Mytilus edulis: one gene and its partner. The main gene of each other region encodes a partner of the protein of the gene in region 2 in a complex. Links are inferred from orthologs where the notes say so. Each region holds a gene or a part of one and is shown on either strand. Other genes may lie near its edges.

Evidence for each region.
Region 1: the proteins of cysteine desulfurase-like (region 2) and adrenodoxin-like protein 1, mitochondrial are in contact, whole or in part, in a cryo-EM structure (PDB 8RMC), measured with the Homo sapiens proteins. The link is inferred for Mytilus edulis from reciprocal best matches to the Homo sapiens genes NFS1 and FDX2. Residues at the interface, in NP_066923.3 of Homo sapiens: Gln153, Lys157, Leu160, Asp161, Arg164, Ala168, Tyr175, Ala384, Ser385, Leu386, Glu387, Pro388, Tyr390, Arg393, Gln456, His457; in NP_001384335.1 of Homo sapiens: Ala104, Cys105, Glu106, Ala110, Cys111, Pro141, Leu142, Ile169, Thr170, Arg171, Asn172, Phe173, Tyr174, Val175, Asp176, His178, Lys181.

The regions. Positions count from the first base shown.
Region 1 is NC_092344.1:18,534,861-18,542,338, forward strand, and holds the start of adrenodoxin-like protein 1, mitochondrial, read right to left. Parts: upstream 3,163-7,478; 5' UTR 3,145-3,162; coding exon 2,988-3,144; intron 1,611-2,987; coding exon 1,556-1,610; intron 326-1,555; coding exon 219-325; intron 1-218. Other genes in the region: VWFA and cache domain-containing protein 1-like, read left to right, coding at 3,453-3,749. UniProt on the Homo sapiens protein: Electron donor, of the core iron-sulfur cluster (ISC) assembly complex, that acts to reduce the persulfide into sulfide during [2Fe-2S] clusters assembly on the scaffolding protein ISCU.
Region 2 is NC_092348.1:85,717,099-85,725,299, forward strand, and holds the start of cysteine desulfurase-like, read right to left. Parts: upstream 3,114-8,201; 5' UTR 3,058-3,113; coding exon 2,937-3,057; intron 1-2,936. Other genes in the region: pyruvate dehydrogenase [acetyl-transferring]-phosphatase 1, mitochondrial-like, read left to right, coding at 7,161-8,201.

The DNA.
Region 1 (7,478 bases), on a different chromosome or scaffold from region 2:
TGATAGAATACTAAATCATGGTTTTAAACGTTTTGATGATGCTTCAAACATTTAAAAAAGAAAACAAGATTGTGTTTTAATACATATATAACCAAGATTTGAGTTCAGAAAACAAAAATACCATATCCTGATAACTCAAATGATCCAACTGTTCCAACACCATTCCTAACAAAACAATACAATGGTAAAATAGAAGTATTATGATAAGTTTTATTTACCTTCCAACTCTATGTCGTATCTATGAGCTAAATACATCAGATTATCACCAACTTTTCCTCTGACAGGTTTTTTAACTCCATTTCTATCTATATAAGTAATATTTACTCTAAAAAAAAAAAGTAAAATGATGTAGCTCACCAGTTGCATTTTAAATCCTTTTTTTTTTAAATTTATTAACTTTTTTCTGATTAAACTTTTCATAGGTTGATTAATTTGTACACATTAATATAATTTGTGTGAAAATTATGATGAAGGAAATTACTTTTTTGAAATCCCCTGCTTTTTGCTCTGGTTGAGTTTTCAAGAAACGAAAGGTTAAATATCAAATGTTTTTGTTTTGTTTTATATATGTGTTAGACTCAGATGTGCCATGGGGACGCTGAAGTGCGATGGTCATGCTGAACTGTGTCTAATCCAAAGTGTGATGGTCTGTTCGCTGATGTGCGATGGTCTATTTGATGCATGATTTCTATTTTAAAAGCTATAGATGTGCAATTGTTATGAGAAGCATGTATATGTTTAAATAGCTAGTACATGTATATGAATTTACATTCATTTTGTCTATGACTGTCCTAAATAACAGTTGCATATTAAATAAGAGATCGTTCTCTTTGATTTTCTGCATGTCCATATAATTCTGCATTAACATTTTATCTTTACTTGGTTCCTTGCATGAGTTATTGGATTACCGTAATATTATTATACAGATTGTCTGTATGCAAACCTGTACATTGTAAGAGAATGTCATTGTAAGTAAAAAGGAGCTGTTTGTAGATTTTGAAAAAAAAGTTTGCTACAGAAGGTCAACTTTCCCCTATTAAGGCTATTTACCAATCTTCGCAATTTCTCTAGTACAGTTTTTAAAGTTTACAAGCCCCTAATAAACTTTATAACCCAGAAAACTGCTTCTAACATACAAATTGACATGAAAAGCATGGAAAATTAAGTTTATAATATTATCACCATCGCACTTTGGCATAGCTATCAACAAGATAGCGTCACAAAGCCACCATCACACTTCAGCGTAATCAAAAACGTACTTCAGCTTCAGACCATCGCACCTTAGTGTAACCATCACAGTTTGGAGTACCATCACGGTTCAGAGTCCTGTTTTAAGGTTTGCTGTCTCAATTTGTTTGTCAAAATGTTCCCCAAAATCTTCTTTTACTCATTGTTGTTTATATTATAATATTCTTGCATTAATCTAGTTTAGTGCTTCACTTGTGTGTGCATTGATGCTTTTATATAAATGAACATTTTTGCTTATGCAATCACCTAGCTGTTGTATGTCTAATGTGAATATTGTATATGTCCTATATGTATAATATGTACTTACACTTCATCTTCTGATTTTGGATCTTTATATTCATAATCCCCATGACGTAATGGACCTTTAATAAATATCATAAAATTTTTAACTGCTCTTTTTACACAGATTAGTTTAAGGCTACACAAATTTGTGGATGTTTAATTATTAAGGAGGAAAAAACAAAAACAAACACAATTCTATACAGTGTACATGTCATTATGTTGTAGTTCAAACTCCATCTTTAAAGCTACAAAATGTATACAACAAAACATATATTAATTTGATGCATTTTTTAAATATATATTTTATGTTATAGTTGTAATTTTTATTTGCCTATCATAATCATAAGAGAATACATATTTTGTTTATTTGAATAGAAAATTAAACTATATAAATGATTAAACGTTTTATTTCACATAAAATCATACTTCATACAATGTATGTTCAGATGTTGTTTAGTAGTTGTTATTTTTTTTTTAATTCTCAATCTTGTTGCATTTTTATTTTACATTGCATCTTCAGTTGTTATATTTTATAATTCAATTTGGACCCTCTAAAAAAGTGAATTAAAAAAATAAAATTCAAAAACTTAGAGCTTTGAGAAAATGGGTACTTCCAGGTCCTGGCTGTACCCATTTTCTCATGGAAGTACCCATCTAAGTTTTTGAATTTAATTTTTTGAATTCACTTTTTTAGGACTATTCCAAAAAATTATGATGTCCTGCAGGCATGTTTAATTTTATGCTGCATCACTTTTCATTGTAGGAAGTCGTCACAGCAACAACAAAAATAGCATGCAAAGGTCATATAGTTGTTTTGTCTATAAGTAGTTCCTGTTATCTGAACTGTAAATTCCACCTTTATAAGTTTAAACACTTCTTGTAATACTTGTAAGACGTTTCTGTCACATGACCAGTTTGTCCACAGACGTTTCAGACACAGTCGATTAGACCATACTTTTTCATATTGTTCTTATGAGTTTTAAAAGATGGTATATAAGTATAAATTAGCATTAAACAGTTCCGCAGAACCCAGTGTCTCGGCTACTCTTGCTGTTAATCATATTTTGAAAACTATAAACACAGAGGGAATGTTATGTTTCCAAGAAGAATAACTATCTTATGATCATAAACAAGCCTCCTTCCAATTTTGGTAGGAATCTGGTTCTTTTGTAACATTAAAATATGTTTGAATTAAATAGATAATCGATACAGACTTCACCCCCTCATATTATTTCTTAATGTAAAAACAATCCTATTTCTCATTTCTAAATAAATATGAGGCTTTATAACAAGTCAAAAATGACTGAAACGACTTTACAAAGTTTGGCCAAACTGGAAAAGATATTACCGATACAGCATGTGGACGAAACGTCTTGAGCATCGCCTGTAATTACTTATCTTAAAAAGTAAAAACTGCCTTGATAACATGATTATGCAACACTCAGAGCTTAATTTACCTGCACTGACATGAAAATGTCTCGAAATTTTTGGAGTGGTTGTCATTTTTGTCTGTTCTGTTAATTTAAATATTGAAGGAACTCTTTGAGATTGCGCGATCTTGAAGCATTTGCTACAAAATCTTTTAGAAAAAAACTGCAACATGGGGGCTGACATATTGGACAACTAGTTTCTATTTTTTCACTTATTTTCGGATTTTACGAAACTTCCGGCTGTTTTGTGTATTGCTGTAGCTTTACATATTAGCATGCAAGATTGGTGATGACAAAAAAAGCGATACACTCCAATACACTTTATTGATATTTTGCATTATGCTAGGGAATTTAGTGCTGTTTAGTTATGGATATGAAACTTAAGTGAATTTTCCAAAGGACGAGTGTAATAAGAATCTGTTTGGATTTCAGAAATGTTGACAGATGACCATTCAAATAGTCTGTTGAAAGGTCAACAAGATCTTTTTCAACATGGCGACCTGTAATCAAAATAGAATTTTAGTTTGTCTTTGTATTTTTATAACAGCCAATTTGACGTTTGTCAGATCTGATAGTACTAAAAAACGTGATGTGTACAATTATAATGATAAACTTGAACAGGAGGCTTTCAAAGCACTATTCTCTGCTGGTGGATATTTCTCTGACACAAGGCAAGAACCAGTTGACCCTAAAATTTTAGGTGGAATAAGAATTCAGATAGAAGCTTTGAAGTTGTGGTCTCAATTAAGACAAACAGCAAATGTTGAATTAGGGATTCCGCAAATGCAGGTAGGCTACATGTATTTGAAAAAAAGTCTTGAGATCCTGTAATTAAAAGCTTCTTACATGAACATGTATAAATATTTTTTTCTTAGAATGATAAATGAACATGAATGACTTGTCTGAGTTGTCCCTAGTGTACGAAACTGGTTGACAGGTCCGTTCACCCAGATTAAACATGTTCGCCCTGAAACTGATCGCAATGAGTTCATTCACCTCTAGAGGAGGGTGGTAATGCCCTTTTACGTCGGGCGTCAAACAGTTATTTTCGGCTACCATTAGCGTCAAATTGGTAAAATTTTACTGTGATTCGTCAAAGGTCTCAAATAATTATCATTACTGTTATTTTGGAAAAAAATTAACTTCGTTCATCAAAATCATTTCGTCTTAAAGAAAGTGTACATTTTATTGTCATGCACTAAAAATGACCGTTAATGTCATTTGGCAAGAATTTTTATGGTTATACGTCATGAAAGTACCCCCAATACTACCATTATAAAGTCTGCTCGCGCTGGATTCCTTCTCACTACTTTTATTAATGAAATATTAATATTATGGGTATTACAGTTAAATAAACCTTATTCAGATTTTTATATGGTATGAATTCTTGAAAATTCACAAAACACATGGAAATAACTAAAAGTTGGCTTGTTTTGGCGCATTAATATGTCATAATAATAGTTCTCACTGATCACTGTAATTAAATTATTTGGTTGCAGCAATTCCAATATTTGGCAAATTTTCAAAAAAACTCCAATATATTCTGTTCCAATAATAAACATTAATATGCAACTAGACAACAGTAAAAAAAAAAAGAGCAAATGAAACCTGGGCAAACCGGTACATTTATTTTGGTGAACAGGTACTAGGACGAGCCTGAATCAGGGTGAACAATAAAATTGAGAATGGAAATGGGGAATGTGCCAAAGAGACAACAACCCGACCATAGAGCAGACAACAGCAGAAAGTCACCAACAGGTCTTCAATGCAACAAGAAATTCTCGCACCCGGAGGCGTCCTTCAGCTGGCCCCTAAACAAATATATACTGGTTCAGTGATAATGAACACCATACTAAACTCCAAATTGTACACAAGAAACTAAGACCTAAAATGATACAAGACTAACAAAGGCCAGAGGCTCCTGACTTGGGACAGGCGCAAAAATGTGGCGGGGTTAAACATGTTTGTGAGATCTCAACCCTCCCCCTATACCTCTAGCCAATGCAGAAAAGTAAACACATAACAATACGCACATTAAAATTCAGTTCAAGAGAAGTCCGAGTCTGATGTCAGAAGATGTAACCAAAGAAAATAAACAAAATGACAATAATACATAAATAACAACAGACTACTAGCAGTTAACTGACATGTGTTCATGAATCTGTGTCTGTTCGCTCAAAATCTAGTCAGCTCTCATTGCCTCAAAATTACGTTCCACTCTTTTTCTTACGCACCCTAGACCAAAAATGAAATATCTGAAGCATCTTTCAACCCACTGAGTGCACCTTGATTGGCTTTGTGTTTTACCTCTGTTCCTGTTTAAAGGATAAAATCTTTGAGTAAAAATGGTCTGAATCGTGCTTTAAAATCAATCTATTTTGTCTTTGACTTTGAACAGGTTGGGCACAAGTCAGAAAATGTTGGATACATGATTTCTCTGCTTTCACCTCTTGTGTAAACAAAACCAGTTTAAATGTGTTTTTATTTTTCAATTTATGGCATGAAATTTACAAAAGGGCACGTTTTACGTTATAACTGCATCAGTTGAATTTGTAAATACTAAAAGTATTCTAGGAACAACAAAACATAAAAGTGAAGCCTTGTTTTTTCTAGAACTCGAAAAAACATGCAAATCTTTTGTTTACGAATTAATTGACCAAGCTGCATGATCCAGGTGCAACTGAACATAACTGAATAATGTTCATTGCTATTGAAAATTTTTATGCCCCACCTACGATAGTAGAGGGGCATTATGTTTTCTGGTCTGTGCCTCTGTTCGTTCGTCCGTCTGTGCGTCCGTTCGCTTCAGGTTAAAGTTTTTGGTCGAGGTAGTTTTTGATGAAGCTGAAGTCCAATCAACTTGAAACTTGATACACATGTTCCCCATGATATGATCTTTCTAATTTTAATGCCAAATTATAGTTTTGACCCCAATTTCATGGTCCACTGAACATAGAAAATGATAGTGCGAGTGGGGCATCCGTGTACTATGGACACATTCTTGTTATTCATTAAATTTTATTTCCCAAGTCATTAACATATCTTTTCATGTTTGATGATTGGTACGAATTGGTAAACAGGAATTGTTTTTTTGTGAGTTATGCATCAAATTAGACTTGAAATAAGCTTGATTTTTAGCTCACATGGGCCGAAGGGCCAAGTTAGCTTATGCCATCACTTGGCGTCTATCGTCTGTCGTCGTAAACTATTTCAAGAATCTTCTCCTCTGAAACTACTAGGCCAAATACTTCCAAACTTTAACTGAATGTTCCTTAGGGTATCTAGTTTATAAATTGTACCCGAAGTTTTGATCTATCAACAAACATGGTCGCCATTGCTAAAAATAAAACATAGGGGTCAAATACAGTTTTTGGCTTATAACTCAAAAACCAAGCATTTAGAGCAAATCTGACATGGGGTAAGATGTTCATTAGGTCAAGATCTATCAGCCCTGAAATTTTCAGATGAATCAAACAACCCATTGTTGGGTTGCTGCCACTTAATTGGTAATTTTAAGGAAATTTTGCAGTTTTTGGTCATTATCTTGAATATTATTATAGATAAAGATAAACTGTAAACAGCAAAAATGTATACTGTTTTTCTTTAGTATTTTGTGAATTATAGTCATGAATATGATATTGTCATGATGACCAAAGGCCAAGTTCATTCATCTTAGACTAAGACTAAATTGACTTGTAAAAGAAAGGGAATATCAAACTTGTTACAATTACATGTTTATTCCCACAACAATGCAGTCTGTACTAAAATCAATTCTGACTTGAGCTTTTACACTATGTTTCCCACTGTGCTAGGCAATACTCATAAAACCCAGGTTTTTGCTAACCCAATACAATGTACAAATAAGCTCTTCTAAGATTGTGATTAGAAATAAATATTACCAGGAATAAACTAATCGAATATGATCAAATTCTGATTTATTTAATACAAACATAAATAAATTTCTAAAACGTAAATAAAATTACTGTAAATTCAGAAATGATCAAGTGCACTAATTATTGTGATTTTGTCATATAAGATTCAAATGCGATTTAAATTAGGCCGAGAAAAAAAAGATCCGTGTTTCCGGTAACCCGACCGACCCTGTTTTTTTAGCCCCGACCCTAACTTTTTTATTGGATCTTCAAAAAAAATAAAAAAAAAATTTATCAACCGACCCTGTTTTTGACACAGGCTTCTGATAGATGACATAATATTTTTTCTCTCTTGCTTCCTCTTGCATAGAAAGCCAGTAAAACATTTTATTAATGTCAAAAGGTATTCCAAATAGGTTAAAATCCAAGAAATTTGCACAGCAGGTGCTTCAAAAACATTGCAAATGGCACACTTCCGGTTTTTGAAACTAATTACGGATCCGGACTTGGAAAAAACATGAAAATTTTCCGGATTTCATTTACGATGTCAAAAAAAAAAAAAAAAAAAAAAAAAAAAGAATTCCGACCTACCGACCCTATTTTTCAAAATGATGTTACCGGAAACACATATCTTTTTTTTTTAGGC
Region 2 (8,201 bases):
TAATCATTAATGACCTTGAAGTTAACTTTGCATGCAATAAGACCTCTCTCATATTTTTAGAAAATTTGTTTATTTTAGATTGATTCTTTTGGAAGGTATACACCTTATCGCTAAACCCGGCTGACCCAGCCGCTTGAACTTTAGACGCATACAACAATCACTTTTCCATTGTGGCGTCAGATATTTATGTTTTATGAGGCCAAAATAAAAAGATTGTATGTTTGCCCAAACGCGACCGACCCAAAATAAACCCGCCGACTCAAATTCTTTTTTTGACGTTTTTTTAGAAGATTTTTTTTTTGCGGATTCTTTTCATGTCCGCTCCGTCATTGTATAAAACTTAATGTTTGTTATCTTTGCGTTTGAAAGTAACTGTGAATGAGATTAAAAGAAAGCGCATAAGAGACGCAGTTAATTGATCTTCCATGTTCTCTGTTTTTATCTTCTGATTTAACGAACGTAAAGAAGTGAAAAATGTGAAGTGGCACAGTTTTTGTTTTACGCTGTAGTTGTCTGTACTACCAAACCCTTACCTATATGCTCAATGTTAATTTCATCGTGTAATCGAAGATCTGATAAGAATATTCAGGTAGATTTGTTCAAAACCATGTGCAATCGAATATTTTCAATGTTACTCTGACAGGAAATGGATCCGGAAGTTGCGAATTTACAATCTTGCAAGAAGATTTTGTATTTATTGAATAAAAAGGGATTACTTCTTGATAAATTGTTGTCTTTAATTATAATCTTCCTTTATCATGTGAATTAGATATAATACACATTCATTAAATGTTTATTTTAGATTGATTCTTTTGGAAGGTATACACCTTATCGCTAAACCTGGCTGACCCAGCCGCTTGAACTTTAGACGCATACAACAATCACTTTTCCATTGTGGCGTCAGATATTTATGTTTTATGAGGCCAAAATAAAAAGATTGTATGTTTGCCCAAACGCGACCGACCCAAAATAAACCCGCCGACTCAAATTCTTTTTTTGACGTTTTTTTAGAAGATTTTTTTTTTGCGGATTCTTTTCATGTCCGCTCCGTCATTGTATAAAACTTAATGTTTGTTATCTTTGCGTTTGAAAGTAACTGTGAATGAGATTAAAAGAAAGCGCATAAGAGACGCAGTTAATTGATCTTCCATGTTCTCTGTTTTTATCTTCTGATTTAACGAACGTAAAGAAGTGAAAAATGTGAAGTGGCACAGTTTTTGTTTTACGCTGTAGTTGTCTGTACTACCAAACCCTTACCTATATGCTCAATGTTAATTTCATCGTGTAATCGAAGATCTGATAAGAATATTCAGGTAGATTTGTTCAAAACCATGTGCAATCGAATATTTTCAATGTTACTCTGACAGGAAATGGATCCGGAAGTTGCGAATTTACAATCTTGCAAGAAGATTTTGTATTTATTGAATAAAAAGGGATTACTTCTTGATAAATTGTTGTCTTTAATTATAATCTTCCTTTATCATGTGAATTAGATGCCCTTTTATTCAAATAGTTCAAATTTACAAGCCTCAGTTGACAAAATCAATAAGTTGCTGTTTGGGAGAATTTGATTAAACTATAATTGCTCACAGAATAAGAAATATAATCTTAACTGAATGTAACTCTTTCTGAATAATTTAGTGCAATATAAATCCCCTTTGACAAGAAAAATCTGGCTTTTGTCAGAAATATTTTTTTCACATGTGCAAAAGTAAACACATGATATGGTTGGATTTTTATACAAATTTGTGAGGAAGCCTCTAGAACCATGACCTAAAAATAAATAGTCTTCAGAAATTGTTAACTTTATGCAATTATATTTTATCAATAATGATTATTTTCAAAAATTTAAACTTGATTATTTAAAGAAATAAAATTATAACAAATACGTTTTTAGTTTGGAGATTCTACAGAACATGTTTTGGTCTATTTATAGCCAAATTAGTTTACCTGTGTGATAATGTAAAAATATAAATTTGTTTTCAAAACATAAAAAGACAGAAACTATGGATGGTAGATAATAATTCATATAAAATATTTTAGGACATTTAATCTATTTTAAAAGATATAGGATTTAAAAACTGCAAACAAATTAAATTATTACATACATCAGCTGATATTTTTTTTTCACAAACATCTTGTTGATGTAACTGTTGAAAATCACTTCATAAATCCACCAACCCTTTCACACAGTCAGGGTTATAAACATCTCAGGATATAAAGTAGACTAATTTATTTATAGAGGTTTTAAATTCATGGCTTTTGGTTGACTCTACAAAGGTTTGACGGAAAAAAAAGATGTACTGTTTTAAGACCTTTTCATATTTTCATGCAAATTCTGAAAAAAAAAAAAAAGAATTTGCCAACCTACGTACCCAGACCCAGTCATCATGGGTCGGGTTTGGGCAAACTGAAATATTTTTAATTGTGGCCTGACGTCAAAATTTTACAGGAACCTATGTGATATCCAGTAATGGCGGACAAATAGCGATAAGGTGTATTAGGGAAAGGGTACAAAAATGTAATATAAAATAAAAAAAAACGTAAATACTTAATTAAAATAACTTTATTAAGAAAATTTTCACCACACATGTTATCATTTGCTATTCTTATTCTTACTAAGAATAGCAGCCGAATATGACGTCACATGGGCATGAACTGCATACAGGAAGTGAAAGTAGAATTAGGTCGAAAACGTAAGATCGTCGAAAACACAATACGTTGAAATACGAGACGATACAAATCAAAACAAATATTTATATTGGTGTGTAAATGTACATGTCATGTTCTTTAACAAGATCTATATTGCTATCAGTCTACTTATTCTGTCTAAATTGATGATTTTTAATATCTTAATTTTAAGAGTTCCATGAACATTATGAAACAACGTGTATGTATCTTTCAATGTCTTTTTGACACATGTAATGGCTGTATACCTGCAACTGCAACTTTCTGAGCATTGTCAGTCACATTCGCCTGTAAATATCTCTTAGTTGACTGAGTTGTGCTGTTCACAACTTGTAATACAAAGCGAAAATTTCTGAAAAGTCGTGCCATTTTATATTTATTTTCTTCTGTCGAAATTGCTTTACATAATTGTAGTACTATGCAGCCAATAATCAACAGTAGTATTGATTATAACCAGAATCACTCAAACAATATCCGATTACCAAATATACAAATACCAACACGAATATTCGAAAACGTACATAATTGCTTCATGTTCAAGATAGAATTTAAAGAAAATTCATACCTGTCAACTGTCACTATTTGTGGGGGATTTCCCCCATGGAGGCTCCCAAATTAAAATTTTGAAAGAGCAATTTTGTCCAAAATTTAAACAAAAAAATTAATTTTACAATAACTTTAGGCTTATAAAAGTATGAAGAAGCCAAAAAACTACCTTAAATGTATTTGCAGGCCCCGTTTATGGTTTTTTAGGACTATGACAGCCATCTTGCACGCAAAACCCCCATGGGCATTTTGAAAAGTTGGCTGGTATGAAAGATTGATAATTTATTATTGAGACTTCTGTAACACATGTGGTTTTTTTCTCAGATTAGAATTAGATAGAAATAGTACAAAAAGTTAAAACTATAGTAATAAAGCATCAGTCTCATGTTGATAAATGTTTTAAAAAAAAAAAATAGGATAAGAATGATAGGTCACAGCGCATTTGCTCAAGCTACAGGTTTTGACAAAATGACACATTTTATAATAAGAATAAGAATTTTATTAGTCTAAAATCCAAACAATAGGATTGTTACTAAAATACAAAACAAAAACAAAAACAAAGAAACAGACAGACAGGCATATTAATTACAAAACTAGGCATTAAACACTACAAACATGTAGCATTGAAAAAAAAAAGTTATTAATATTAACTATAATACTATTTTTGACAGCATGTCTCCTCTTTCAAATTATCAATTCAAATATTATGCTTATATATATATATAACATTATAAGTTGGGCCATCAATTACACAGTTCATATTGACATTATAATTGTTTCTCTCATTATACATTTCATTTATAGACGTCACGCGCGATGTTCGTACCTCATTGGAAAATCGGTGTAGTTGGCAAGATCCAAGTCCAAAATATATAGTTTTGTGATATCACATTCATTGCTATTGTACGAATTTTTGAAAAAATAATGTTTTTTAAAATAAAAACGAAAAAAATAATTGTTGAAACTATGTTTAATGCTGCATGCGACAAGCTTCATTTAAAAAAACCGGCTATTTTTAGGCTGTCCCGCGTAACATATTTCATTTATTGTAACCACTAAACTATGATTTTCGTCTAAACTATTTAATATTTTGAAAAACGTTTTTTTTCCCATTATTTAACATAAAGGTTCCTTCAGTTTGTTATGCATTCTTTATGACGTTATAATGACGCAATAGAAAAAAAGATCCATACTACAAGGGCAAACCTGTCCCACGGGGAAAAAAATTTGGATTCCAGATTTGAGAATTAAAAAACATTTATCTAAAATGGAAATGGGTTAGTGTAGTGTTTGTTTTTACTACATCAATGTTAATTTGCTTAATTTTATGAAGTTAAAGACAAATATCATGGCCAGAAAAATGATATATGGTAATTTATGAGCGATTTTTCAAAGGCTTACAAGGTTGTCGCACTGCCATTTTTTGACGTAAAAACGAACTCACCTCAAATTTACGTCAATTGTTTGCTTATCAGTGCTCTTTTAATGGTAGAATTTTATGATTTTTGAAAATGTTATTTTTCTTAATTTTTCAAAAACTAAAATACATCAATTTTCAATAAGTAGTTAAAAAGCACCGACGATTTTGCGGAGTCTTACAAGAATGTCGCACTTGCTTAAAAACAACGTTTTAGTCGAAGTTTTGGTTTGAACGTTACGAAATATTCGGGACGTTGTGTTACGCTTACATGTACGAACATAGCGCATAACGTCATAACATTATAAGTTGGGCCACCAATTACACAGATCATATATTGACATTATATTTTTTTCTCTCATTATACATTTCACTTATATAGTTAACAATGATAAGTAAAATATCACATTCTTCGCAGGAAAATATAAAATCAAATTTGTTTTCTTCACTCATTGAATTAAAACTGGGGACAATACTAGAAATTTCATTCAACATTTTGATCTAGTTTTATTAATTTCTGAACATAATGATAAAATGAAATACATCTTCCACCTCTTTATGACATAAAGGACATATTCTATTTTCTAAAGCTGTTTTGTTGTATCTACCGCGTTCAATAGCCAGTATACTATTCCTTATTCTTATTTTAGCATAATTTTTTGTAACATTTTTATCTATTTCAATAAAAGGTACTTTTCTAGTTCACACTTTACTTTAAATTTTCTGTAGGTTCTTAGTTTATTTCCATTTATTGAATTATCATCATTAAAGAGACAATTTTTCCAAAATGTAATGTAATTTTCATTGAGCTTCTCTCACGACGGCTAAAAGTAATCTTTTTTTTAGAAAAGGTACATTGATTTTCCCAAACATGAGTGAAATTCAATTTTGAAAGTAGCATTTTCAGTGGCGGATCCAGAACTTTTCATAAGGGGGGACCAGCTGACTGACCTAAGGGGTGGGGGGGGGGGGATCCAGTCATGCTTCAGTGATTTCCTATATTAGCAACCAAATTTTTCCCACGAAAAGGGGGGGCCCGGGCCTCCCAGCCCCCCACCCCTGGATCCGCCTATGATTTTTACTTTTGAAGCAAATCCATCATTTAACTGCTTGTTAGCTTTATAAACATTATATAATAAAGACTCATTTTCATTTGACTTTAAAATATGTAACCAAAATCCTACAGAAGACTTAAGGGCCTGTATACCAATAGGGTACATTCCCAATTCAGCTAATACAGCTGTATTTACTGCCTTTGAATTAACATTTAGAAGACCTTTTGAAAATTTGATCTGGAGTTTTACTGATTCCATAGATAAGTATTGAGATTTAAGAGTTTTATTGTTCTTCACAATATTTAGCGACCATATCTCACTGCAATACAGTAATATTGGGCTAACACAGGAATTAAACAGTTTCATATGGGGAAAAACATCCATCTTATCTGAGTAGAGTATTTTTTTAATACAAAACAATGCTTTTTTACAGAGGATATTTGCAGCATTAGTGAAAAATCCTGATGGCTTGAATAGTATACCTAAATATTTATATTCTGTGCAACATTCAATTACTTCATTATTCAATACAAACTTGTCTTTAGTAAGTTTTTTACCACTTTTATTAAATATCATTGTTTTTGTCTTGTCAAGATTGACAGTCAAGTTCCATTTTTCACAATAAGTGTTTAACTTGTTAAGACAATTTTGTAAACATTCTGAAGATTCTGATATTAATACTAAGTCATACTAGACAATTTTATGTCATGCAATGTTACAGGATCACATGTGTTATCAAACATTGAGGTTAAATCATTTATATAAAAAGAAAATAAGGTAGGGCTTAGAATGTTTTACTCCAACTGTGGAAGGGATTTATGAATTATGTATACAGGAAAAACATTATGCTCAGAAGCTAAACTAAATGATAGAATTGTAAAATTAAATACGATAAGATAGCTTTTAGAAAATGCTTTGAGAATACCATAACTCGGAAAAAACCCGTGTGTTTTCCACGACTAAAATACAAAATAGGAAAATTCCATGTAGATTCCTTAAGAAAATGCACTATTTCATCTTAGAATCTTATACATTTGTTCTTTTACATGAACATTCACATTAGTTATCTTCATTCCTGCATCAAATTTTGCTAACTTGATTGAAAATCAGGACCTGCTATGTTCTCTAATTTTTACAATCCAACCTTAACCGTTTTTCATAACTGAGACGAGCCAGTGCGGCTCAATTTGGGCGAGTTGGTTCCAGACAGGGCGATTTTTTACAAAGTGGGACGAGTTGTTGAAAAAGTAGGGCGAATATTACAGTGGGTCGTGCTGTTCTTCTTCCAGTGTTACCCTTTTTCGGTAATTAATGAGATTTATTAGAGTTCTGATCAGTGATTATACTGCATGCTCCTGTTAAAGGGAGACTAACCCCTTGAGTAAGGTTGACAAGCAAAGCAGTCGAAACCGAAAAGGACAAGATCGAGTGACTTATGTTTCGTGCAAAACAGAATGTTAAGAACTTGTCCTCTGAAGAGGATTGATATAGGTTTGAAGAAAAAAGTTTTTTCACAACCTTTTGAAGAAGTTCATACGAAAGGACAAATTGAAAGCGTTAGAAGATTTTTCTTAAAATTTAAACAGAGGCATGGGTATTTAAGTTCAGACGTCGCACTGTTGACTCGAAAACAAGTCTCATCGATATTGAAAATAAATGAAGTATCAGTGGATGCAGATGGTCCTATTAAAAACTTTGAAGTGAATAAATTACCAGCAAATAAACCAATTGAAGATCGTGACACAGTAGCAAAGTTGACTCATGGAGATAAAAACAAGTACATTTTCGGTGTTTATGATGGACATGGTGGTAGTGCATGTTCTCAAGCTCTCAGTGAACGATTATTTAACTATATTTCAGTCTCAATGTCAACGCAAGACATTTTGAAAGACATTGCATGTGACAACGAGGGACATGACAAACTTGTAGACTGGTACCCTTATCAGTCACAGTACTTCAATCATGAACTTGATCAAATATACAAGGATAACTTGGCTAAATTTGCCAAAGAAACATTAGCAAACTTTGAAGAATGCTCAGTAGAAGAGCATTTGCGGCACGCTTTTCTCCGTCTTGATCATGACATCATGTCAGAATGCTTGCCAGTAGGTCATGACTTGAGCATAAATGACCAAGCTTTAGAGAATGGTTTGTCAGGGTCTTGTGCTTGTATTGCATTAGTTGATGATATAGATTTGTATGTTGCTAACACGGGTGACTGTCAAGCAGTTTTAGGAGTTGAAGTTGATAAAGACCATACGAATACAGTAGAAATGTCACATGCACACACAAGTTACAACTCCAAAGAAGTAAGAAGAGTTTTAAAAAGTCATCCCAATGAATCTTCCCATGTGATCAAAGGAGGTCGTCTCTTTGGCAGTTTAGCACCATTAAGGGCATTTGGAGACATGATGTATAAGTGGTCTGTTAAGGAACGTAATCAACTTCTGAAACTTTTCAAGCATCACCCTAATTTCAATGTATACAGCGAAGTT